Xenopus tropicalis: one gene and its partners. The protein of the gene in region 3 interacts with the protein of the main gene of each other region in a biochemical or structural test. Links are inferred from orthologs where the notes say so. Each region holds a gene or a part of one and is shown on either strand. Other genes may lie near its edges.

Region 1 (7,990 bases), on a different chromosome or scaffold from region 3:
ACATAAGCTATTTCTGCACCAAACCGAAAGCTCTAAAATTGAAGATAAAACAGAATTTAAGGGTTCGAATTTATAATTACCGCACACATGGGGTACAGTAGGGGTGCCCAATTTGCAATTTACAAGTAGATCTTTTAAGTAAACATTAGATAACTGTAGTCCAGCATGGTCCACGGACAATTTCATAAGATCATCCATCTGGGGAATTTAAAGTAAATGGCTTGGAGAAGCGGACACCTTAATCCTATGCAGGGGCTCTTCTGCCATCAGGTGAGCTGAGAAAAAATTCTGATTTTTAATTCAAAATTTCAGCTTTTCTAGTGCAGAAAGCATTACTGCTCTCTCTCTTTGCCTTCCTCTTATACCTCTTTCCAGGTTTCAAATGGGGGTCACAGGCCTCAGAAATCAAAAAACTATTGCTCTGTGAGGCTACAATTTTATTTTATGAATTCCTGGTAGCTAGGCCAAATAAGACCTAAAGCAACTTATCTACAACTAAGCTGCTAAAGTACCAAAACAGAGAACTGATGAACAAAAAGCTAAATAAATCATAAAAATGAAGACTAATTGCAAATTGTCTCAAATTATCACTGTCTACATCATACTAAAATGTAATTTGAATGTGAACTACCTCTTCAGTAGGATAACAGTTAAAGATTATTGACAAGCTACAACCTTCATGGGAGAGTGTCAATTTCCAAATCTATTTTACAAAAAAGTTTAAAAATGTACATTTGCATGTACATGCAAAGTTAAAGCAACTGTGCATAAAATCTACAGACTAACACTGTGGAGAAAATATTTAGGTGCAGGACTAATTCACCTATTTAGAATAAAAATAAATCCAAAATCAATGACCAACAATCACCTTTGTTGTAACCTTTTAGGATCTTAAGGATTATATAAATTAATCATTACATACAGATTAAACAAGGCTAAATCATTGTACAACATAGAGAAAAACAAATATAATCAGAAGTTCGTATAATAGCGAAACTATTCCATTGTATGTTACCTGAGTGAGGTAGAAGATGTGAGTGTGTGGAACTTCACAAAGAGCATTGACAGCCCCACGAAATGTATAAATCTGCTGATGAGGGTCACCAACAAAAATCTTCCCACAGGGCTGAGAAAGTACTACATCCATTATGGCTGCATTCAAATAAAAAATACATTTGCAAATAAAAAACTCATTTAAATTTCAGTTGGTCCTGATTATAAATGTATCACAAGGAAAACCATAAAATATGGACAAAAGTTTATCATAATTCTATTTAATCACATACATGAGCACTTTATTTGTAAAAATGTATACAAACTGCTCACAAATTACTGAATCCTGGTAAACATCTCCTCCATTTATCAAAATCCACACTTTGGACTATAATATAGACTTTTTTTTTAATCACATGCATTACTTCATTACAGACTTACAAACCTGGCGTGCAGTCTTGAGCTTCATCAACAAATACTGCATGATAACCTGTGAGGCGGGGCCTACGTAGCTGCCAAAGTTTCAGGTAGCCTTTGGGAAAAGAAATGAACATTTATCTATAATAAGAGGCTGCAGAGAGTTGGTTGTGTTAGTCACAATGGACTGGGGAGATGTAATCCTTCAATGGGCTGTAGTACCATTTTCATGCAGCAATTTGTACACAATTCACTGAAATGTTCCTGTAGACTTTCTTTGGAATGTGTCAATATCACTTTAAATTGCTGTACTGTCTTGTTCCTTATTCTTTCTATCCTGTCTAACTAAGCATTCCTGGCACAGATCAATATTCTTAAATCCATCCGTCACTTTTTAACATGCATTCAAACTTTAGTTGTACATATCATTTTAACAGCTATATGTTATGAATAAGAATTTCAAATATTAACAGTATTTATGTATACTATTCTTTTCCACATTGTTGACTCGATTGATGCAGCTAAAATCTATCAGTACCATACTATTTTGCTCAATTACAACTACTACTGGCACAAGTGCTTTGAACACTAAGGGGGCACTCCTTAAGGCCAATAGTGGCCCTACATGAGATGATAAAAGCTGCTGACTCTTATATGTGTAATTGCTATAAAAACAAAGCCTATCGCAATCAGATATCCTAACCCAAAAACTGATGGACATGGTTGAGTAACAGGTTAATAAAATCCAATATTACTGAAAAAGGTCCACCAGACCAGCTAAGGTAGCACCAAATCCTTATTTGCAAAAAAGAAACAATTATGTGTTTTTCTCAAATGTGTGGCCTAAAGTCATGTGATATTTAAGGTTTGGTTCGGCCAGGCACTTGGATTCAGACGAATACAAATCCTGGTGAAAAAGGTTCAAATTTGGATGAATCCCAAATGAATCCTGGATTCATTTTACTATTATTCTTATAACTCATATAAATGAGAAAAAGTATGAGAAAACTTAATCGGGGGAGAATATTATAGCTTACAGAACAAAAAAGCAAAAATAGGGGGACAGAAGAAAAATAAGTAGAAGAACAAGAATAATAAAAAAAAAAAAATGAAAATCAAAGTCAAAGGGGAAACCATAATGGACAACAGGCCATAAAACAAAAACAAAATAAAAATAATAAAACTGTTTTGCTTACGAACCATCGGGCGTCATTTTATAAGCAAACTGTCTGGTTTCCTTAAGGAGTTTCATCTCCCTCCATATCTTAGAGGCTTCCCTTACAGTAAACTGGGGAACAATCAAGAACAAATATCAATTAATAAAGTTGGTCATCCATTGTTTTCACCACTCAAACTAATATCGCACAAAGATATGACAGTGTGAAATACCCCTAATTTTTCCCAGGTAATCAGCAGTGCCAAAACTACTAAAAGCTGACTGGTGTCACATTAGCCATAGACGCACAGTAACATAACATAGCTTTATTAAATAGTAAACAGTTATTAGATGAGGATTATTACCTTTCTGTTTTAGATGGCAAAAATGAATTACAAATTGTCAAAAGGTACTCAAACATCTAAATAGATAACAGCACAAAAAGATGCAGCTTCTACCAAACCTCAACAGTCGTTAGTTGCACAAGCTTAAATGAGCAGTGGAATACTCAGTTTTTCAGATTTGATGTCAAAGCACTCACCAGTTTTTCTTCTTCTGTCACCAGCACTTGATTTCCACGATTATTTTTGCACCAGATAGGAACATGCTCTACATCTATATTTTCATCAGCAGAAGAGAAGAATGTTTCAAGAGTCTTCACAACAAGCTTTGCCCTGATAAATCCAGCCATTTTTTCAGGAAGAACAAAGTTTACTGCAAATGGTGTCAGCTTGGAGTGGTTTAATTTATTTCTATTTTTATACCTAAAAGTGCAATAAATATAGAGAAAGGAATTACCTGATACATTTAATTTACCTTTTTACTTGGTTATCCAAACTTTGCTCCAAATCTAGTAATCCATAGGAACAAACAACAGGTAGTTTTTACTGGTCTAATGGATTAAAGCACATGAGATTGCTGCTGTGGTTTATTAGACCTATATCTGACATTTAATATTACATAACCGATTTAACGCACAGTTCATTGTAAAAATAAAGCTGGTTGCAAATTAAAAAATGTTTTCAATATAGTTAGCCAAACATGAAATCTATAAAGGCTGGAGTGAATGAATGTCTAGCAGAACAAAACATCCTCCTTTGCATCTCTCTAATGGTGACTAGAAGGGGGGCCACATGGGGCATAACAGTTCTGTTAGCTCCTGTTCTAGTCACCAACTAACAGATTAGAGAGACACAATGGAGTAAGTAGTGTTCTGACTATTATTTTAGACATACACCCATTCTAGCCTTTATACATTACATTTTCAACTAACAATATTGAAAACATTTTGAAATCATTTGAAAACGGATCCTTTAATTAACAACTTCATCATAACAGCAATCAACAACTTCCACAAAACAGCAATCAAAATGTTACTTATGGCCATATGAAACAAAAAACTAGAAGTACAGTGACTAAATAATAAATGGAGAGACAAATAAGCAAGTTATAGGCCACACAAACCTAAAGGTCTTCTTCTACTCTAGGTACATGGTCACTACTTTTAAGGGACAAAAATAAGAAAAAATTGGCGTGAGAAATTCCACACACTGGTTTGCTAATATTTAAAAGCTATTTCATATAGATTTACATGATTTATATTTTTTTCATTTAAAACAGATATGAACATGGATTCGACAGTAGCAGTAAAACCTACAATACACCAGTCTGTGTAAAGGCCAAAGAATGGAAAGTCCTGCACTTCACATTCCTGGGAAACAGCAAGGCAGCATGTTCTGCGATAGACCTGTTGAATGTGGCATATAAAAATTGAAGGTGAGGTCTGCTCTCTGCATACTTGATCAGAGTTGACGTTTTTCCAGTACCTATAAAGATACAAAAACAGATATTTTAATATAAAATTGTGATGGAAAACATGTTCACAAAAGCATAATTAAAACATGATCTTTCTTACATAAGTAATTCCGTGCATAAACATTTCCCTTCCAAATCAACAAAACTCAAGGAATAAAATTCAAGCACAAAAAATGTAATATACATAAATATTTTCCTAGTATTTTACTTTGAATAATGTGTATGGCAGCCATAATTATCCACATGTGTTCTTTAACTTAATAGCTAAATCTACCAAAACAGGCTGTTAACAAATTGAGAATTATGTCACAACATCTTCTTTTAGGTTAGTCGATAAATTAAATAATAGAAAAAAAACCTTCTGTGACAATTCTCATGTGCAGTTGTGTGAATAAATACCCACATTATAAAGCATACATGATAGAGTCAGCTCATTAAATGTTCACTATATCAAACATGGCTGTCATTTATTAAATCAATAAAACTGAAAACTTCAACCTTTGTTAAATGTGCCCTTTATAGTTGGCATAAGCCACCTCAGAAAGCTCCCTCTCTCCGTGTTTTAACACCAATGTCCTCAGTAAATCCTGTATGTACTAGTGATATGCTGGTCAGGCTGTCCCAGCACACTACATGGGGGTAGTGGGATGGTGGCAGGTCTAACTAACAGTTCCTACTAGTAACCAACTTTAGTGACATCTCTGTTTTGCACCAGCCCCTTGATGACATTAACACATTTATCAACCCCCTCCAGTGATGTGTCGACTAATATCCCTCCTACCTCTGACATTAGAGGGGGAAGGGTTGTGTATAAATAGTGCTGCAAAATGTTGGTCTGGTTTTGGTTATTGTGGGTTAGGGTCAGGGTAGGTTAAAAAATTTGCAACCTGCACATCACTATTATATACTCATACTCAGTTCAGCTGTGTTGTGGGGGGCCAGTTGTGGGAACTTCTGTGCAAACACATTTCAAAAAGTTGCTGACAAAAGATTTTTTCGCGCAAATTGTATTGGTAACGGAAAAGTCGCGACAATTTCTGAAAAGTCGTAAAGGCGACGAAAAAAACGCAAAAAATACAAAGAAGTCGCAAAATGTTCGTTTTCCAATCGGAATTTTTCCAATTCGGATTCGTGGGTTAGTAAATGTGCCCCTAAACGATCTGATTTTAATGTATCTGGACACCATATTATGTATTTATGTTTTTATTGTTTATGTGTATGAGCACAGTATAACATTCAGCTAGAATCATATGAAAGATGGGAATTAAACATTTTCATCCCTTATAATACATTATCCCTTCATTATGTTTTGTCTTGATTTATACCTGCAAAAGCCATGATTTTCACCACCTGCCCAGGAGCAATGTCATGGTTTATTATTTGCCTTTGCTCTTTGGTTAGATTTAAGGTTGGTCTCTGCCTAGGAATAAAAAAAAAAAAAAAAAAAAATAGGTGGTTATAAGAATACTGTTTTACTGGTATGGGATTCCTTCTCTGGAAACCGATTATCCAGAAAGCTATAAATTAGGGAAAAGTCATCTCACATAGAGTTCATTTTAGGCAAATCATTTTGTTTTTCATTATTTCCTTTTCCTCTGTAATTATAGCATAATATCTTGTACTGGAGGCTATCTAAGCTGCAGGAATTCATAAAAGAGGCAAATGATTTCACTGGGAAAGGGTTAATCCCTGGGTTGATACCTGGGCCATGCTCTTGTTAGCAGTAAACTGAACCATCTCAGGGTTTTTATGTGCAAGCAACACAAAGTGATCCTTTTCCTGCTTCTTCTTTTACTCCACTGCTCATGCGTCAGCCCCACAATTCTTTCTTCAGAATTTTAAAGAAATAAGAAGCAGAAGAACTGGACTGTTTTGTGGAGGTCCCTACAAAGATCCCCAAACCAGGGCAGATGAGAAATGGAGACCAGGGAGATTCAGGAAGTAGGGACAAACAAAAGGACATTAGGGAAGTTGTAGCAGAGTTGGGTATAGAACACAGAGTGCAGGGAGAAAAAGCAAACCAGCAGGAAAAAGGTGCAAGGACCTCCTGGCAAAGCCACATAGTTCTATTTTTTATAGAAAATTTTACCTTTTTGGTATGACTGTTTTTGCCTGAGTTTAAATAAATGGGCATGTTAAATTTTTGATATTCTGTAGATTTAGAAGGGTGGTTCACTTTTAAGTCTATTACAGAATCTCTTATGCCAAGCTCTTTGCAACATCCTCTTCTGCACCTTTCCAGTTTTCAATAGAGGGTCACTGGCCCCAGCAGCTATTGCTCTGTGAGGCTACAATTTTATTGTTACTTTTGATTCAGTCCCACTCCTATTTATATTTGTCTCTCTTTCAAGCCACTTTTTGGCTGCTAGGCTAAACAAGACCCTAGCTCCTGAAATTGTTACTGGAGAGCGGCTCAACAAAAAACTAGATAAATGAAAAAAAAAACCCCACAAAAAATAAAAAAATGAAAACCAAATGAAAATTGTCTTAGAATATCACTGTCTATGTCAGGGGTCGGAAACCTTTTTGGCTGAGAGAGCCATAAACACCACATATTTTGAAATGTAATTCCATGAGAGCCATACAATATGTTTAAGCCGGGCCCTCGATTTGCGGCTGCCTGTGGAGGATGATGTGGCTTCAGGCCTGTTTGGCCGGGGATGCTGCTGGGCAATGTAGGATGGGTACCAAGGATGCTGGATGCGATGTGAAGGAGGGTGTGGCCTGCGCTCGGCCGATAGAATACGTGTTCTATGCCTTAGAACACGTCTTCTATCCACCGAGCGCAGGCCACGCCCCCTGTAATTTTTATTATTAAAGATTTGGCAGTGAGCCAGATGCAGCCATCAAAAGAGCCACATCTGGCTCCCGAGCCATAGGTTCCCTACCCCTGGTCTATGTCATACTAAAAGTTAATTTAAGGTGAAAAACCCCTTTAAGCACTGAACAATTCAGTGCCTTAAACCTGAACAATGTGACCCCCTTAAATGGGAACCATCGGTCTGTAATAAATATGCCTTGCAAATAATCTTTAATAACCAGCTGTGTTTTAATTCCGTAGCAAATACTCACTCTGATTTAAAAGGAAATGTTTTTGGTGGAGCACAGCTATTTTCTTGAAGATATAAGCAATAGATAACATTGTAGTAAATCCTGGAGGGAAAAAGTAAAAACATTACACTTAAAAGTGTCCCAATACAGTACTATAGAGTTGTGTAAAATAAAGTTAAACTGATACTTCATGTTACTTCTATGAAGATAATCATTCATTTTTTTTTTAAGAACTGTATTAAGGCAAAGGATGAAGACTATAACGTGTCCAAAATCATAAGTATTCAGGACCAGAGATATAGAATATATACATATAAATACGGTATATACACAGGCTTTGAATACATTATTATATAAATACAGTACCCTGAAAAAGTATTCATATTATTATCTATTTAACTGAAACCGAAAAGCTTCAATGAAATGTTAATCTCTGTAAATTGTTTTTATATCAAAGCAGTTAACTGAAGTTCATTTTTTACTCCGATCTTATTATATGTTAGATAAATTTAAAAAATGGTGTTGGCATAATCATTAAATAACTATGTTTTAATATTT
Region 2 (7,773 bases), on a different chromosome or scaffold from region 3:
GCCAACGTATATTGGATCCGTTATTAGGGAAAAGCACTTAGCCTTTTAGCGACTGTCCCACCACTGCCACATTTATCATTTTCATTTATATTAACTTTGCAAATGCATGCCCAGAAAGCCAAAGTTCCATAACAAAGGGCACAGAATACAATGCATTTCTCCTAGGGGCAAATTATAGCAGCAATATCATTACTGTTTGCAATGAAGGACAATGCTGTGAACAAAAGAAAATCAAAATGATAAGATACTAGCTCCCTCTCATGCCAGAGCATGTAATTAATATGGCAAATAGTAAGTCTGGGGAAACCAGAATACGTTTGGAGTTGTCATAAACAAACATCTAAAAACATATACTTTGCCTTGATTCTCTTTTATGGGAATATTTTATTTGTAATGACTTGATGATGAGACATGGCTGGCGGGTAACAGAGCAGCAAGTAGGAGACGTCATAGAGCTTTCCTTGCTCAAGGTTAATGCCTTCACTACTTACATTGTAATTTAGTGTGTAACCAGGCTTGCCTACTGTGCTAGTATAATGGCTTTGGAATATACAGGTACTTGTGCCATTTATATGGCACAGTAGTCAGTGGCTAAAATGTGTAAATGTATTTTGTAGAAGAATTTTCAATGCACTTTAGATTGCAAACTTTTGGAAACAGGGCCCTTAGAGCATATTTTTATTGCAACCCTTGTTTGTAAAATCAACTTAAAGTTGAAGGTATGAAAATGGCAGTATGCATATCACCTAGCAAAAGCCATAAAGGCGCTAATAAAGGCACCAGCCTCAGGTCTCACTGACTTGGGAATGCACTGAACCATTTATTTGCATGCTGTCTGAGTGCATTCTCACATAGGCCACTGGCAGTGAGCAGCATGTACACACACCACCACCAGGTTCTACAGATTCATGCCCTTTGCTCTTATTTTAGGGAACTTCTGCCTTGTTCACACAGTCCTGACAATCTTGTTGTTCCTTGCTTAAATCAAAAGGGACCTTTTCCTCATGTATTTAAACTTAACTAGAACCATGAACCAACAGGTAACATTATATTTTGCTTGGTAGCAAGGGCAACTAAACCTGTTTAGTGGTGTCTAGTTTGTACAAGAGAACCCAAACCATCAACCTTTCATTGGATCAACACTTAAAAAATATATATTAAAGGAGAAGTAAAGGTTAAACTATAGGTTGGTGCCAATGCGTTGGATATCCCCTAGGGAGTGAAACAGCTAGTGGCTCAGGGCAGTGCACACTTCCCATAAAAATAACACTGGCCTAGGTTACTTTCTTGAAGAATGCCATACTGAATTCACATTACCAAAATGTTTAGGTGCATACACAGTATAGTACTTTTGGTGAGTTTATTATACTTTGCATTCACCTGCCTAGTGCAAATGAATTTCCATATTGGCTACAGACATTATTATTGCTATACAAACAGCTGAAAAATGTACAGTAGTATAGAAAGGCTGTCCTAGCCTATACTCACTGTTGCTTTTTTTTTTTTTTTGCCCTATTTAACTTGAATTACTGCCCCCAGGGCTATACTGCAGCTAATTTATATAAACCATCTAGTTATTTCCAAAGAAAAAACAATTCTTGCAAAGTAACAGCACATTATATTTATACGCATGTCAAACTCTTTCATTTTTGGTGTTAACCCAAGATTTTGACAAGCCCTACCATACTGATCAAAAGATATAATAGAGACAGGCTTGGACTGGGATTTAAAGTAGGCCCCGGCTTTTAAAGTACACATAGACCCAAACAGGCATCTTACAGCAGCACCACTGGCATTTGCCAGAATACAGATTGCCAGTCTGGGCCTGAATACAGAGCATGCTATTGAATATAAATATCGTATTTCCCCTATACACCCTGCTGTAAGGAATAATTTGGCCTCTGATGAAAGACCCTTGCATGGGGCTGAAACACACTGAGTTAGCGCTTACGTTTGGATTAAAACCATTTTAGGATTTGAGAGTTCTTTGCAACATATCCCTAGGACTAACACACGGCAAAAGACCATTTTTTGAGGCAGCAAATGTACCAATTTGTTACTGTTTTCTACATCTTAATGAAAACGGTGGGTGACATTTGGAAAGCTGTTTCAGTTGTAAATTCTGTGCCGCCAAGGAAGGCCAGGGGAAAAAAAGCTAAATGACGGTAGTACAGACTTGGATTCTTTAGAACACTGATTTCTGTAGCAGATAAGTTATCCAAAGGAAGAAGACATGCAGTGAATATAATGAAGCCCTCACTGGGGCAGCACAGAGCTCCTAATGCATCCCACCAGCAGAATTACAGTTTTCTAGGCAAATTCTAAATCCTTCCTGCTTTCCAAGGGCTCTGCACATGTCAATAAAAGCATGCAAAAATGCTGTCTCAGCTCTTTAAAACCAGTGAAAGTCAAGAATCCTATCTGAGCAAAGCAAATGGTAATAATGCCTGGGAAATATCAGCATTTCTCACCTTATTCCACCAAGAAAATATTAATTGCTCTCCAGTAGAAACAGGGTTATACAAAGGCAAACACACATGCAAAATTAAACTTTTTCTTTTAATTTTGTTTAGGGGATAAAAGGAAACCCCTTTCTTTGCATTATAACTACAGCGATTAATTCAGTCATTGAGAAAAGAAAAAAAAAATAGCAAAGTAGTTTAAGTGTAGGAGAAGCAGTAAATGTACAAACGGCAAACTTTGGCAATTACACACTGTCAAGAAAAGGGGAGAGTAAGAAAGCAAAATATTAATTTAAATGAAAAATAAAGCAAAGCTTTGTAGTTGGCCAGATTTCCCCAGGGGGCAGAGAGTCAATGCTTATCAGAGCTCCTCAGAAGAGAGAATTTTGATTAATATCAGGGCCATCTGACTCAGTCTATTAAACCCCGAAGGAAAGTCTTCAGATAGAAAAGATAGGTCTTTGATTAATAATTCTTCCATATTGTCATTCCAAGCGTTAGCAAACAGTATGGCACATCCATCCGGCTGATGCAGAAACTTGCAGAGGAGGTTGGGAGCCCCAGGTCTTTTACAGGAAGACAGGGAGTCCCCAAACAATATACTACTCATGGCACCTAAAGCCAAAAGAAAGGAAGCCTTCCTTAAAGGTAACTACATACTTGCACAAAAGGAAGGGCACTCACAAATTATGCATTCAAAATTAAAATGAAGCAAACAAATGTCCAATCCAGTTCTTCCATTACCTCCTCTGCATCTGGGATACATACAGAATTAAACAGTAAGCAATGACAAATGCAAATGACCACCCCCCCTTGGGGATTCTGCTGGGGGCCTTTTCTCATCCATGAGAGCAGTAGAGAACGCTTTGCTTTGTTGATGAGAGTTTTAAGGAAAGCAGAATGAAAAGAATGTATGCTTATATCTATTCCGGCTCACTTGGTCTAGCTGGACACTCTGGGGAGCAAGTGCTAATGGTTATATCATTTTGAAGATGATGCAGTTTAAGCTTCAGTGCTTTAGTATTGGTCCATCCATGAAACATTTTATTTTCGTTCCCATATCTTTTAAGTGATTTATCACGGTCTTTATGGCAAATCAGACACCTTGAGCTGCCATTTTCCTAATGTTCATAATCAGCCTTCTAGAGTATTCTTTGTGGTCAACGGGCTTCACATCCATTGCTGTGGCCTTTATACGAGATTCATCCTTTTAAACAAAAATACACTGGTTAAAGACTAAAAATGAAGACATTTAAAGACCAACTTAAAGCTTTACAAAAAAAAATAAGCTAGAAAACAAGGGTTCCTATCGGCTCATAACAAGGTCAGAGTAAAACAAACATTATACATTCAGCAATAGTTATAAGAATATCTGCAAAGATCGTTTTTCACTCTGTCTTAGCCTAATTAACCTTGAACATTTTCTTCTAGGTGTATCTAAAAGAGCAAATAGACATACTCCTCCAAATCTCCCCAGGTCACTGTTCTAGGCCACCATTACAATATGGTACGGTAACCAGCTTAAAGTTATAGCAGTCCCCCGACAGAGTCATGCCTCAATAGGTCACTGTGTGGAATAGAGTAAGGGTCATTTCCCTGCTGCTGCATCCCCACTAAACCCACTTTTTCCCAAGGGTTCTGCCTTGAGTCAAACACAACACAGCATTGTGCTCCTTTGATGTACCACAGTCGGTGTCAGTGTAGAGATAAAAGCTAACACACATCATGCCTCCACCTGTTTTTGCAGGAGGTGGAATCTGCTCCACCAATTTAATCTGAAATTTTACACAAGCAATACAGCAAGTCATCCAAAGAAGCAAAGTTCCTGGTTTCTTGCACTCTGCCAGCTCATGCGCTTTCTTCTGTTCAGACGGTTTAGTATCTGTCAAGCCTTGGAATATATTTACTGTCTCCAAAATTCCTGCTTGGATTAATAAACTTAGGAGACGTTAAGTACCTATTAACCTAATATCTTAAAACTTTAGCATATTCTGCATTATGCATGCTGAATAAAATGCAGTCTAGTACCTTCTGACTTCTTAATGTTGTACAATTTATTAATCAAATTTTATGATTCTTTAGAAATGTAATAAATACTCAAGGCCACTTTACACCCACATAGAATTCTGCCACTACCACACAGGAGTTAAATTAACTGAGCACATCCTTAGAAGGACAAGGAAAGTCTTAATAACTGGTCTCCAGTTGTTAAACATCCTTAAACGATTAGAACCACTAATCTCAGAGCCCAGGCTGGTTCCACTGTTGGCTTAAAAAATTCCCTGACCCAGGGAACTACTCTAGTAAGTAACATGCAACCATCTTGTTTCCCGCAAATATGTGCAGCAGAGCAGAGTTCAGTGTATAACTTCCAAATTTTCAAGGTGCAGAATATAAGGCATTTTGTTTATTTGCTAGATTTATTGTTGAGGTATGGAATTACCCAGATTTTTGTGGAACCTGGGGTTTTTTCAGATAAGGGGGATCACCTAACCTTAAGTCAACTAAAAAAAAGCATTTCAACATTAAACAAACTCAATAGTACTGTTCTGCCACAAATGTATGGAGTTTAAACAGTATCTTCTGCTTCTTGGTAACTAATTAGTATAGCATAGCAATAAGTATCAAAAACATTATTTGCTTAAAATGGACCATGATATAAGGCCTTCTCTCATGGTTCCTTCTTGTAATTTGCAGTTTTGTATACCTGTAGAAGCAAAGGCCATCAATACAATATATTGGGAAAGGGGTCTAAATCAAAGGATCAATATGTAAGCCTTTGGACTATTTCATTATTTTAGATAATTAAAAAATGCCAACATATTCCATAGAGACAAACAGAACATAATGGATATGAGAACACAGTTTATGAGAGCTTACAACCTTGCAGTTGAGGCATAATAGTACCTATGCAATTGTTTAGGTGCTTCCATGCATCCAACACAAAATGCTCTGACATTTCTTCCAGTATGTGGTTGCTGGTGAATCAGAAGACATGCTGTCTGTACTGCATTTTACCATAAGTTGCTGTCCTATGGTTACTCAAGCAAAGCATCATAAAGTGCAAAAACACAAAAATAAAATGAAGCCTCCAAAATGAGTGAGTGCAGCAAAGACCACTGAGGGAATGTTTGGTTATTACAAGTAAACTAAAAGGGAGTGAACAGTATAAGTAGAATATACTTACATTGTATGTCTCTAGCTTAACTCGAATCCTAAACGTGTAAGAACGGAAGTTGGCATTCTGAAACACCTCATCATAGGCTTGCTCGTTCTGCAAGTAGAGCAGAGAAATGTTTCCGTTAAAGGACATATCAGCCAGCAGAAAGCTCCCTCAGTCCGGGACCTAATTGCACCTTTAAACTTGTCAAAATAGCTCAGCAGTCATGAGAAAAAAAAAAAAAGTCCTTTCCTCTCTCCCCAGAAGGAATTTATTCAACAAAGAATGTGCTCGCTGTAAGTGTGGACACCCACAGACTACTTTTAAATGAAAAGCAGCAGAGAGCATTTTTTTTGCTGGAGAGATGAGGAAAAGCAGTTAGCATTCTGATAAATAGAGACAAAACCTTCAAGATGTGAAAAAGGCTTGTTAGAATCACTTATACTCAATAGCCTCTGCTTGCTTCTATAAACAGATATTCATGCTATAAACTGGGCTCTAGTCCTTACACAGCAACGGAACAAGGCATCTGTCTGGGTTTTTACACAAGATTGTTTATCAACAAATATGGTGGAGCAGTGAAGGTAACTTCAGAAACCTTTGCTTTCCCAACACAATTGCCTTTTAATCTGCATCTATCTACATACAGAGAAGGGTGACAAAAATAAAACCCCATCTGCATTCATCTTTTACATTTTAATAGCTGATTCAGCAAAATTTTAAATTCTAATAGGCGATTAAAAAAAGAAAAATCATAATGCATTAGACTCCTGTTACAATCAGAGTGCAGTGCCTTCTCTAAAGAAGACAAATTGCGAACAAGCCTTTCTATTGCAGACATGTTTATGTACTTTTAGTACAATGCATTAGAAAAGGCTCTGAATCCACCTTTGTACAGGTATGGGATCCCTTATCTGGAAATTGTTATCCAGAAAGCAGGAATTTCAGGAAGGCCATATTCCACAGAATCTATTTTGAGCACATAATTATAATGGCTTTGATTTTTTTTTTCTATAATATTAAAGCTCCAGGAAAGCATATTGCTGGCAAAACAATCCAATTGGGTTCATGTTTAAATGTTTTTTTAGTGGACTTAAAGGAATACTGTAAAATACAAAAGCTTCTCCAGCAGAATCCTGCATTAAAAATCTGTTTTTTAAAAAAATGCAAACAGATTTTTTTTTATTTAATTTTGAAATTTCACATGATGCTTGTCATATTTTTCATTTCCCAGGGCGCCGCAGCCATGTGACCTGCGCTCTGATAAACTTCAGTTACACTTTACTGCTGCGCTGCAAAAGTTGGAGTGATATCACCCTCCTCCCAGCAGCCGATCAGCAGAACAATGGGAAGGGAGCAAGATAGCAGCTCCCAGTAGGTATCAGAATAGCACTCAATAGTAAGAAATCCAAGTCTGGCTTGGGACTCCTCCAGTTACATGGGAGTAGGAGAAAGAATAGGTTATCTGAAAAGAGTTCTAATGTGTAGCGCCGGCTCCTCCTAAAAGCTCAGACTCAGACACAATGCACTGAGATGGCTACACACCAATATTACAACTAAAAAGAAATACATTTGTTGGTTTAAGAACACCATTTTAAATGGTAGAGTGAATTATTTTCTTTGCCATGACGACATTATCCCTTTAATGTATGAACCACAATTATAGACCCCTTTATCCAAAGTATTCTAGATAATAGATCCCATACTTGTAGCTGCGCAAATTGAAGTTTTAAGATGGAAAGGAATGCCCGTCCTGGCCATAAATATTGCACAGTACTAGGTTAGCAGAAGTTCATCATTTGACAGTGTTTACCCTTTATACTGTGGATAAGCCTCATGTCCCATAAACCCTAACAGGAAAACCTGAAGCCCTTCAGTTGGGGCTCAAATAAATCAGCTGAGGGGTTGTTGTGGTAGGACAGGATTTGCCAGAGAACATTATTTAGTACAAATCACTTTTGGTGGAACATCTACCTAACAGGCCTGAGTCCATACAGACACAGTGAAGAATTAGGTGCAGTTTGCATTACCCGATACAGATGTTCTAGAGGCTGCACCATAGAAAACTGCAGTGTTTTGAAAAATATAAAAAGGCGTTGTCCTCTGGATATGCTGAAAATGACAGGCAACAGTTGCTTAAATTGAGTTATG
Region 3 (8,682 bases):
GGCTGCCTTCTGTCAGGATCGTCTAACAAGTACCGTCAAGTAGTGTGGGAAGGCTTATGTGAACTTTTCTAGGGAAAAATGTACTGCAAATTATTTTATAGCAATCACATATCAATCTAAATCACAAATTATTACTCTATAGGAATACAGTGTGCTATAATCATATGATTTTTATCCATTCTTATTGCTGTAGGGGAGTCATTTAAGAGAACAAATACTCTTGGACCAATGATTTCTAGGTTAGAGTGGGTGAGAAGTCATTTAGATTGCAGTAAACCTAATAAATCAGCCAGGATCTATGGAAAAGGCACAAAATGCAGAAGTGTCCACATGCACCACAGCAGATCTGCAAATGATTGTTAGTAGGAGACTGGCCTCCTTATTTGAGAAATGCTGGCTTTATAGCCATATTGATTCCTATTATTCATAAATGCTACACAAAAGGATTTCCAAGCTATGACTTTCTGTAATCTAACTACAACTCCAAGGTGAAGTTCTTGTGTTCAGGACTAATTGTTCACCAGTAGCTAAAATGCCTTGCACTGGGTTATCTACAGTCATATGAAAACGTTTGGGATCCCCTCTTAATTCTTTGGAGTTTTGTTTATCATTGGCTGAGCTTTCAAAGTAGCAACTTCCTTTTAATATATAACATGCTTTATGGAAACAGTAGTATTCCAGCAGTGACAAAGTTTATTGGGTTAACAGAAAACATGCATCATAACGAAATTAGACAGGTGCATAAATATGGGCACCCCAACAGAGATATTACATCAATACTTAGCTGAGCCTCCTTTTGCAAATGTAACAGCCTCTAGTAGCCTCCTATAGCCTTTGATGAGTGTCTGGATTCTGGATGGCAGTATTTTTGACCATTCGTCCATACAAAATCTCTCTAGTTCAGTTAAATTTGATGGCTGCCGAGCATGGACAGCTTGCTTTAAATCATCCTATAGATTTTCGATGATATTCAAGACGGGGGGCTGTGACGGCCATTCCAGAATATTGTACTTGTCCCTCTGCATAAATGCCTTTGTAGGGTTTCCAACTGTGTTTAGGGTCATTGTCTTGTTGGAATATCCAGCCCTTGTGTAACTTCAACTTTGTGACTGATGTTTAAACATTATCCTGAAGAATTTGTTGATACTGGGTTGAATTCATCAGACCCTCGACTTTAAGAAGGGCCCAGTCCCTGAACTAGCCACACAGCATGATGGAACCTGCACCAAATTTGACAGAAGGTAGCAGGTGTTTTTCTTGGAATGCAGTTTTCTTCTTCCGCCATGCAAAGCACTTTTTGTCATGTCCAAATAACTCCATTTTTGTCTCATCAGTCCAAAGAACTTTGTTCCATAATGACTGTGGCTTGCCTAAATGAGCTTTTGCATACAAGCGGCTCTGTTTGTGGCATGAGTGCAGAAAGGGCTTCTTTCTCATCACCCTGCCATACAGATGTTCTTTGTGCAAATTGTGCTGAATGGTAGAACGATGTACAGATATGCCATCTGCAGCAAGATGTTCTTGCAGGGTCTTTGGAGGTGATCTTTGGGGATGCCAAATAAAAACTGTGATTGGCTATTTGGTAGCCCCATGGACTGATGGCCAGCAGAAGACTCTGCTTGGAATAAAACTGTGTCTCTATGCTTCCAAAACTAAACTAAACTAAACTAAACTAAAATGGACACCTACTTTGAGACCACTGGGAGCAACATCAAAGGGGGTGGCGAGCAATATGTTGCTTATGAGCCACTGGTTGGGGATCACTGCCCTAAACCATGATACTGAACAATCTTTGTTTTCAGATCTTTTGCGAGTTGCTTTGAAGATCCCATGCTGTCACTCTTAAGAGGAGAGTCAACTGGCCATTTTAAATACCTTTTAAATAATCTTTGTTCAGAAAACACCCCAGTACTCATATGTTCCTGGGAAATAAGACATACCACTTCTCTTTGTTGTTGGAAGGGGAGTAAATTATTATGCAGGATGAAAGGGGTTCTCATACTTTTTCATATGACTGTATAACTTAGGGCTTTGTAGGGTGCAGAAGGACTCCTTACCTGACAGGTGACAGCCAGGGTGTGACACAGCTGAGTCTTCCCAGTGCGAAACTCACCAAACATCTCTGTGATAGAGCCCGTTTCAATGCCCCCTAGTGGAAAAAAAAGAATTTGCTTTTTATTAACTGAATTACATTTTTCATGCATTACATTTAAACATTAAGGCTCATATGGCCCTGATATAAAGGGTTCCTGCTGGACACACCCGTAATAGGTGCCAGCAACAGTGTTATTCACAAGAAACAAACATTATTTGTAGAAACCCAGGTTTTTAGACAATTGCAAGAAAACAGAAATAGCTTCCTATAGTGTTAATTACATTATAACCATAACCAAGACAAAGTGTAACAGAGGCTGCACCTTGCAGAAGCTTGTCGAGCTCTTTGGAGCCAGTACTAATCTGTATGATTTCAGAGCGCCTCTGGTGAAACTCTGTGGCTGTAGTGAATCCCATGGGCACCAGTTTGGCGGCTTCTGCCTTAAATATAAGCAAAACACATACAATTTCACTGTTAGCATTTCACAATCACCCACTGTAAATATAACCCACATGGTCAATCTTGCGTCCCTCCTGGGCACAAGGAGAATGACAAAGAATAATATATATATGAATTACCATCCCAAAGGTCTACAAGGATGATTGGGCATGTTATTGCCGTAAAGGGCAAGTTTTTCAAAGGAAAATGCAATCTCATAAATATTACATATATCTATTATGCAGTACAACACAAATAAGCAAGGATTCACTGCTTATTGATTGACTATTAATGCACAGAGTTAGCCAGCCCTTACCAACACTATTCAGGTAGGCACAAGGGAATAAGTAGGTGTTTCATGTAAGATACTTTTACTGAATAAGAAACCATTTCTGTAATGATTTTGGCTCTTTACACACAGAAGGGGCAACCTTTTCACATGAGTAAAGGTCCATTTGATGAACTTACCAGGATCTTTTCAGCTTTAGCCTCACTAATGCCTTTGATATTGATCAGTTCCTTCTTTGGAGCATAAGCCACTGCTTCTACTGTGTGGAACCCAGCTTCCTCTAGTTTCTTGACATCATTTGCATTTATCCCACATTGCTGTTGGTAAGGGAGACTTAAGTCAGAAACGATCCAATAACTACTAAAACTTAACCAATTGGAAATTAGATTGCAAGCTATTTAGGAGTGTAACTGACAGTATGCAGAGGCAGATGCATTTAAATACCATCAACAACATCAAAGGGATTTAGGAAAAAACATGCAAATTAAAGCTACAAACAGATATCTATACAAAAATCTGATTCAAAGTAACTTTTTGATATACGTTTATTAAACATTTTCAATGGATTTAAAGTGCTATCTGGTTGTTTATTCACTGCATTACTGAATCTGGCTCCTAAAACAATGTAGAAGAGGACCAAACAGCCCCCCACCAGCCCAATAAAGAGTGAGTTGTCTATGGCATCTTACAGCAGCCCCTCTGGCATTTGCCAGAATTCACAGATGGCCAGTCTGGGCCGGTTTTACCTCCAGTCGGGATATTGCCTGTGGCCCAAAATTCTCCTCTTCTGTGGCTTCTGCTTCATAGTGAGCTTGCATGGCCATTTTAATCACTGAACAAAAACAGAGTAAAAGGTCTTGCTTAGTATATAACCATGAGTCTCTTACTGTAGTATACAACAGATAAATGCAACAAAACCAAAGACCTTGTACACACAAACGGTATTGTGTTCTGCCTCTCTAAATTCCTTCTTGGTTTTCATCAGCTGGTGGACTGTAAGAGCACTTAGAGTGATGGACCAGGAACTTAGCACCAGGTGTGTTCCACTGACAAATATTGGGGCATGTTATTCATTTGTTTGGAATGCAGCAGTACATATACACTGCTACTGATGCAATTATAACACATCTTTAAATAAAAAGGAAATTCTCAAATATGAGAATATTTAAAAGTGTGCTCCGGAGGAAGGACAGTTATTCAAGGGGTAAATTCCTTATCCTGAGGGGTCCTTCCAATGAGATGGTTCTTGCAGATAAAGTTCATACCAGCACTGTCACTTTACTGTACAGGGCTTTGGAGGGAGCAGCAGAGTGCCATGTTCCAGTCTGATCAATGACAGGGAGCAGGCTTCTGATTGGAGGGGGCTTCTGTGTAGGGCATTACCCCTGCAGTGTTCCTCTTGTCTCAAAAACTCAAAAAAATCAAAAGTGCTCAGGGATCCTTTAGCTGCATATTTACCTTTAGGGTACAAAAAAGAATATTTTTTTGCAATAACATGATACGGTTTACTTGCTAACTGATATATTTGTGAGTATGCAAGGTTTTGGGGGGAAAAAGCATTGCGGGCAGCACAAGCAGTGATTTGGAGTAGTTAGGAGTGGTACCAACCATCACTTGCTGCAGCAGTAACTGAAAATAATCACTTGTGGAACCCCTTGTCAGGAGACTGTCTATTGGACAGACAAAAGCCCCCACAGAGGGGTACAAAACAAGTACAGAAGACTTATAAGGGGTAATGCAATAAATGTCGATAGTAAACATCTTTGCCCACATCTAGTTACCCATAGCAACGAGAGGTTTGTTTTTTAAAGAGCTGCCGCACTACATGCTTCCTGTCAATCAGCTGTTACTAGGCAAGTAGCACATTGTTAGCAGGCTCATTATGTACCACAGGAATACCCAGCGCTCCCACTATTGGCAGCCACACTTTCTATGGGTGATAGACACATCTGTAGTAAAGCAGTAGCCGGAGGCACAGCAGGTAGGCCATGTCTGATTGTTGACCTTCCCCCCCAGGCCAAGCCAGTGTCTTCCGCCCGTGGTACCGCTCAAACACTACAGTAGGGAGGCGCAGGGAATTGTCCAGGAACTACAACTCCCATAGTTTCCCCAGGATAATCGCCTGCAGCAGCAAGTCAGGAATTTTTAAAAAAGTATATAATACAGCCTGGCAACCCCCACCCCACTGCCTGGCAACCCCCACCCCACTGTCTGTTCCTATAGTCACTTGCGTATGAGCCAGGATCCCCTATACAGTGTGTAGCTTCAGTTACAGCGCTACCTGTTACACAACAGCAGATAGGCTCCCCTTTACACTACATGGGCTCGCCAGCAGCCAGAGAGCAGGTCCCACTCCCCCTCAGGGGCAGAAGCGCCAGGTTCCGTACCCACTAAGAACCCTCAGGCAGCAAGAACGTCTACCCAGTATCAGCCACTCACCCAGCTGTTCCACAGGCCCAGTCCGAAACTCCCGCCGAACCCTGCGTGCTACGTCACACGTCTAGCACCGCCTACTTGAGAGTCTGTCCGCCAGTCGCTGTAGCTTACGGGAATTCTGGGTCCTGGCGCCGAAGGGTAATGTCTATCCATGCCTAATCCGGAAGTGCCCGACTCAAAAGCATTATTATGGGCAGAGTAGATAGAAGAGTAAAGGTGGCCATAAACTATAGGCCAGGACAGGGGCAGTTTTACCAGCAAACAATGTCTAGACCTCACCCACGATTAAGAAGTCTAAGGGGCATATTTATTAACCTATGTGAAACTAATTCGCCAAAAAAACAGCATAAAAAGTTGTGTAAAATAAACAGAGAAAAGCCATCTTAATGCCAGATTTTTTTCCATAAGTTTCAGTGGAAGAAAAAACACATTAAACAATTCCGCTGATTTTACGCCGCTTTTACACGGCGAAGCCTGGCGAATTTTCTCGCTGTTTTTTACACAGCAAAATAAATATGCCCCTAAGGGGCATGAAGCATTACCGGCGATGTTGCCCAGGGCAACCAATCAGGCATTAGATTTCAATAGTTAGAAAACCAAAGCAAAGCATCTGATTGGCTGCTACAAACAACTTCACCATTAATGTTTTACTCCACTTTTTACACAGCATGATAAATATACCCCTAAGTAGTTCAGGTGGCTCCTCAAACAGTAGTAAGGTTTCGCCACTCCCAGTATAATAGTACAGTGTTGCAAACAGAGAGAGCCTTTCTGTCAAACAATTCAATGGTTTGCTGTTTGACAGAAAGTCTCTCCAGTAGACTATTTGCAACACAGGCAGTTTTAGACTAGGGCACCAGAATCTTAGGGCCTTTCCTGAAGTAACGTGTAATGTAAATGTGGTAGTGTTCACCTTGGTTTAAAGAAGGAGCAGTATTCTAAGGTAGTTTGTAGCATTAATTGTTTGAATATGTTTTTGTTCTGCAAGTCTTAAGGTGGCCATACACGAAGCAATTTTCAATCTTTGCACAAAAGATTGTTCCTACCCTCCACTGACGTTCAGGGCTGAATCGTCAGATATGGAGGTAGAAACAATAGAAATTCTACCTTCACCTGCCGATTCAGCCCTGAACGTAGATTTGATCAAAATCTTTTAACCTGGCCGATCGACAAGCCGCAGCCTTGTTGATCCACCATACACACACCGAATATCGTACGAAACAAGGTTTCATAAAATATCATCGGTGTGTATATGGCCAGCTTTAGGCTTGGAATGTCAACTTCTGCCTAGTTGCTAGGGCTTACCCTAGCAACCAGGCATCAGAATGGAAGATCAATAGCAGAAGTACAAAAATCAAAAGCTGTGCAATGCTATTCAACTGTGTATGCTCCCATCTGCACCTGAATGGTGGTCAATGCAAACTTCTCCAAGCCATGGGGCCCTTACTCAATGGTGATGGAAAGTGCATGTATTCAAATTGCAACTTAGATACACCAGGATATATTCAGATACAGATCTGCCCAGTTATAGTTACAACCCAGAGAAAAACGGAATTCATTTGCTCTGTGCAATTAGATGTGTCTGAAATGTAGGAATATTGTAGGGGGTGGAAAAAAAAGTCTATGTGTAACGGCCCTAAAAATTGGCAGTGGCTTAGAGGGGATCTAGACGCAAAAACAAATTGGGCACAGGGAAAGATGAAATTCAGCATTTATTAGGGTGAAGACACATGGAGCTACTTAGTAGCAGCTACTTTTTCACAGCTACTAAATGCCAGAAAATACCCTGCCATAGACAATTCTTAGAATTGCCTAAGTAAAATGATCAGCATTATCTGTTTTAGAAGCCGTGACAGTCTTCAACCTATGATCTCTCTGAAACTACAAGCAGCACTGCCATGCACTGTATATTAAGTCACATTCATTTGGTTTCACAAAGGGACATATTTATCTATGTGTAAAAGCAGATCATGCCACATTCTCCCAGAGCAAAATTCCACCAGGATTTTTGAAGATCATAAATGCTCACTCTCACCCTTTGATAAATATGCACCTGAAGATATGATCTTATTATGGAACATTTGACATGCATGGTATTCTTCTTAGAAGAGCAAAGTTATAGGGGATACAATTAAGATGCCTAATTCTATGCAAAGTCTGTATAAACATTTGGCAAGTGAGAACTCACTAAAGCCAGCAATACATACCCTGATTTAGTTGGACAAATCTGACCAATAGCAGCCACACTGCCTGACTGGGGGCATATATTTTAGCTCAGAAACAGACCATCCTTTGATACTGTCAGATCTCAGCTTACCCATCAGAACTGTACATTTCATCTGCCAATGCACTTCTTAATTCCATGAGATGAAGCTTTTAAACATTGCTTAACATATAGACTTGTGTGTATTGCATACATTATTTTTTAGGCCATTGCACCTAAACATGAAGGTTATGGGTACTTGATACAATCGCCAATTTTGCATCACCGTAAACTGCACTAAATTACGGTTATCCCACAGGTTGATCAGTCAGCCACCCTAGGACTGCAGGAAAGGAGATTTCACCAAGAGCACAGAAAGGGTTTCTTTACTATATGAACATGAAAGTTATCAAAGTCACTGCCTGTAAAAGTGGAAATGAGCTATTCATTCTGGAGTTCAGAAGAGGTAGGACGCATTGCTAATGGATCAGGGTATATATAATGAGTTGTTAATAAGTAGTGATCAACCCAGGAGCAAACCCATTGCTATTTTGGCACCAGGATTAAAGTTTCCTGCCTGTTAGGCTAATGCTTGCGAATGGTTTGCTTCATTGGACTTCTGTTATTTCCAGCCTTTTCTCTGGTATTGTTATAATTTGGGCTTCAATCAATTTAAAATGTAAACCATTTAGATTTAATGCCAAATCAAATTGCACAACAGACAGCGCTTTATTAAAGCTCCAATGTACATTAACCAAACAACAATTTAAAGAACACTAAAATATTAAAAGAAAGGTCAAACTCAGCCTCTGCATCACAATGGCACAAGGGCCAATATACACACACAGTAGAAACTGGGCAGGCTTTAAATTCTTAGTATATAACATTCATCTTATTATAATGTTTTAAAAAAATGTTGGAAGGGAAGCACTCTACAAAGTTATGGGTTTATTGCTAATACTGGGCTTTATTTACACTGCCAGTGTTTAAAACCAGTTAATTTGAAGCTCAAAATAAAGCCTTTTATAAATAAATAACCATATGTTGCATTACATGTACTACACTTATATTTAAATAGTGAGTAATATGCATGTAAAACTAATAAGATTAGGCTGACCACACCTTTCTTAAAACATTTAATTAGAAAACATGAAAATATTTGCAAGATTTACAAACAATATAAAACAATATATACACTCCAAGCTATATACACAGTAGGCA

Evidence for each region. The genes of interacting proteins can lie anywhere in the genome.
Region 1: the proteins of rad51 (region 3) and fbh1 form a complex in vitro, tested with the Homo sapiens proteins (2 studies listed by BioGRID, with this or other methods). The link is inferred for Xenopus tropicalis from reciprocal best matches to the Homo sapiens genes RAD51 and FBH1.
Region 2: the proteins of rad51 (region 3) and rpa1 form a complex in vitro, tested with the Homo sapiens proteins (2 studies listed by BioGRID). The link is inferred for Xenopus tropicalis from reciprocal best matches to the Homo sapiens genes RAD51 and RPA1.

What each region holds. Positions count from the first base shown.
Region 1 is NC_030679.2:84,414,864-84,422,853, forward strand, and holds part of fbh1 (F-box DNA helicase 1), read right to left. Parts: intron 7,535-7,990; coding exon 7,454-7,534; intron 5,802-7,453; coding exon 5,707-5,801; intron 4,393-5,706; coding exon 4,224-4,392; intron 3,331-4,223; coding exon 3,108-3,330; intron 2,699-3,107; coding exon 2,611-2,698; intron 1,526-2,610; coding exon 1,439-1,525; intron 1,153-1,438; coding exon 1,016-1,152; intron 33-1,015; coding exon 1-32. UniProt on the Homo sapiens protein: 3'-5' DNA helicase and substrate-recognition component of the SCF(FBH1) E3 ubiquitin ligase complex that plays a key role in response to stalled/damaged replication forks.
Region 2 is NC_030678.2:36,005,478-36,013,250, forward strand, and holds the end of rpa1 (replication protein A 70 kDa DNA-binding subunit), read right to left. Parts: intron 5,737-7,773; coding exon 5,650-5,736; intron 3,670-5,649; coding exon 3,559-3,669; 3' UTR 2,546-3,558; downstream 1-2,545. UniProt on the Homo sapiens protein: As part of the heterotrimeric replication protein A complex (RPA/RP-A), binds and stabilizes single-stranded DNA intermediates that form during DNA replication or upon DNA stress.
Region 3 is NC_030684.2:115,024,325-115,033,006, reverse strand, and holds the start of rad51 (DNA repair protein RAD51 homolog 1), read right to left. Parts: upstream 5,297-8,682; 5' UTR 5,262-5,296; intron 5,204-5,261; exon of another isoform or gene 5,104-5,203; intron 4,281-5,103; 5' UTR 3,748-4,280; intron 3,655-3,747; 5' UTR 3,647-3,654; coding exon 3,569-3,646; intron 3,140-3,568; coding exon 3,002-3,139; intron 2,536-3,001; coding exon 2,418-2,535; intron 2,150-2,417; coding exon 2,058-2,149; intron 1-2,057.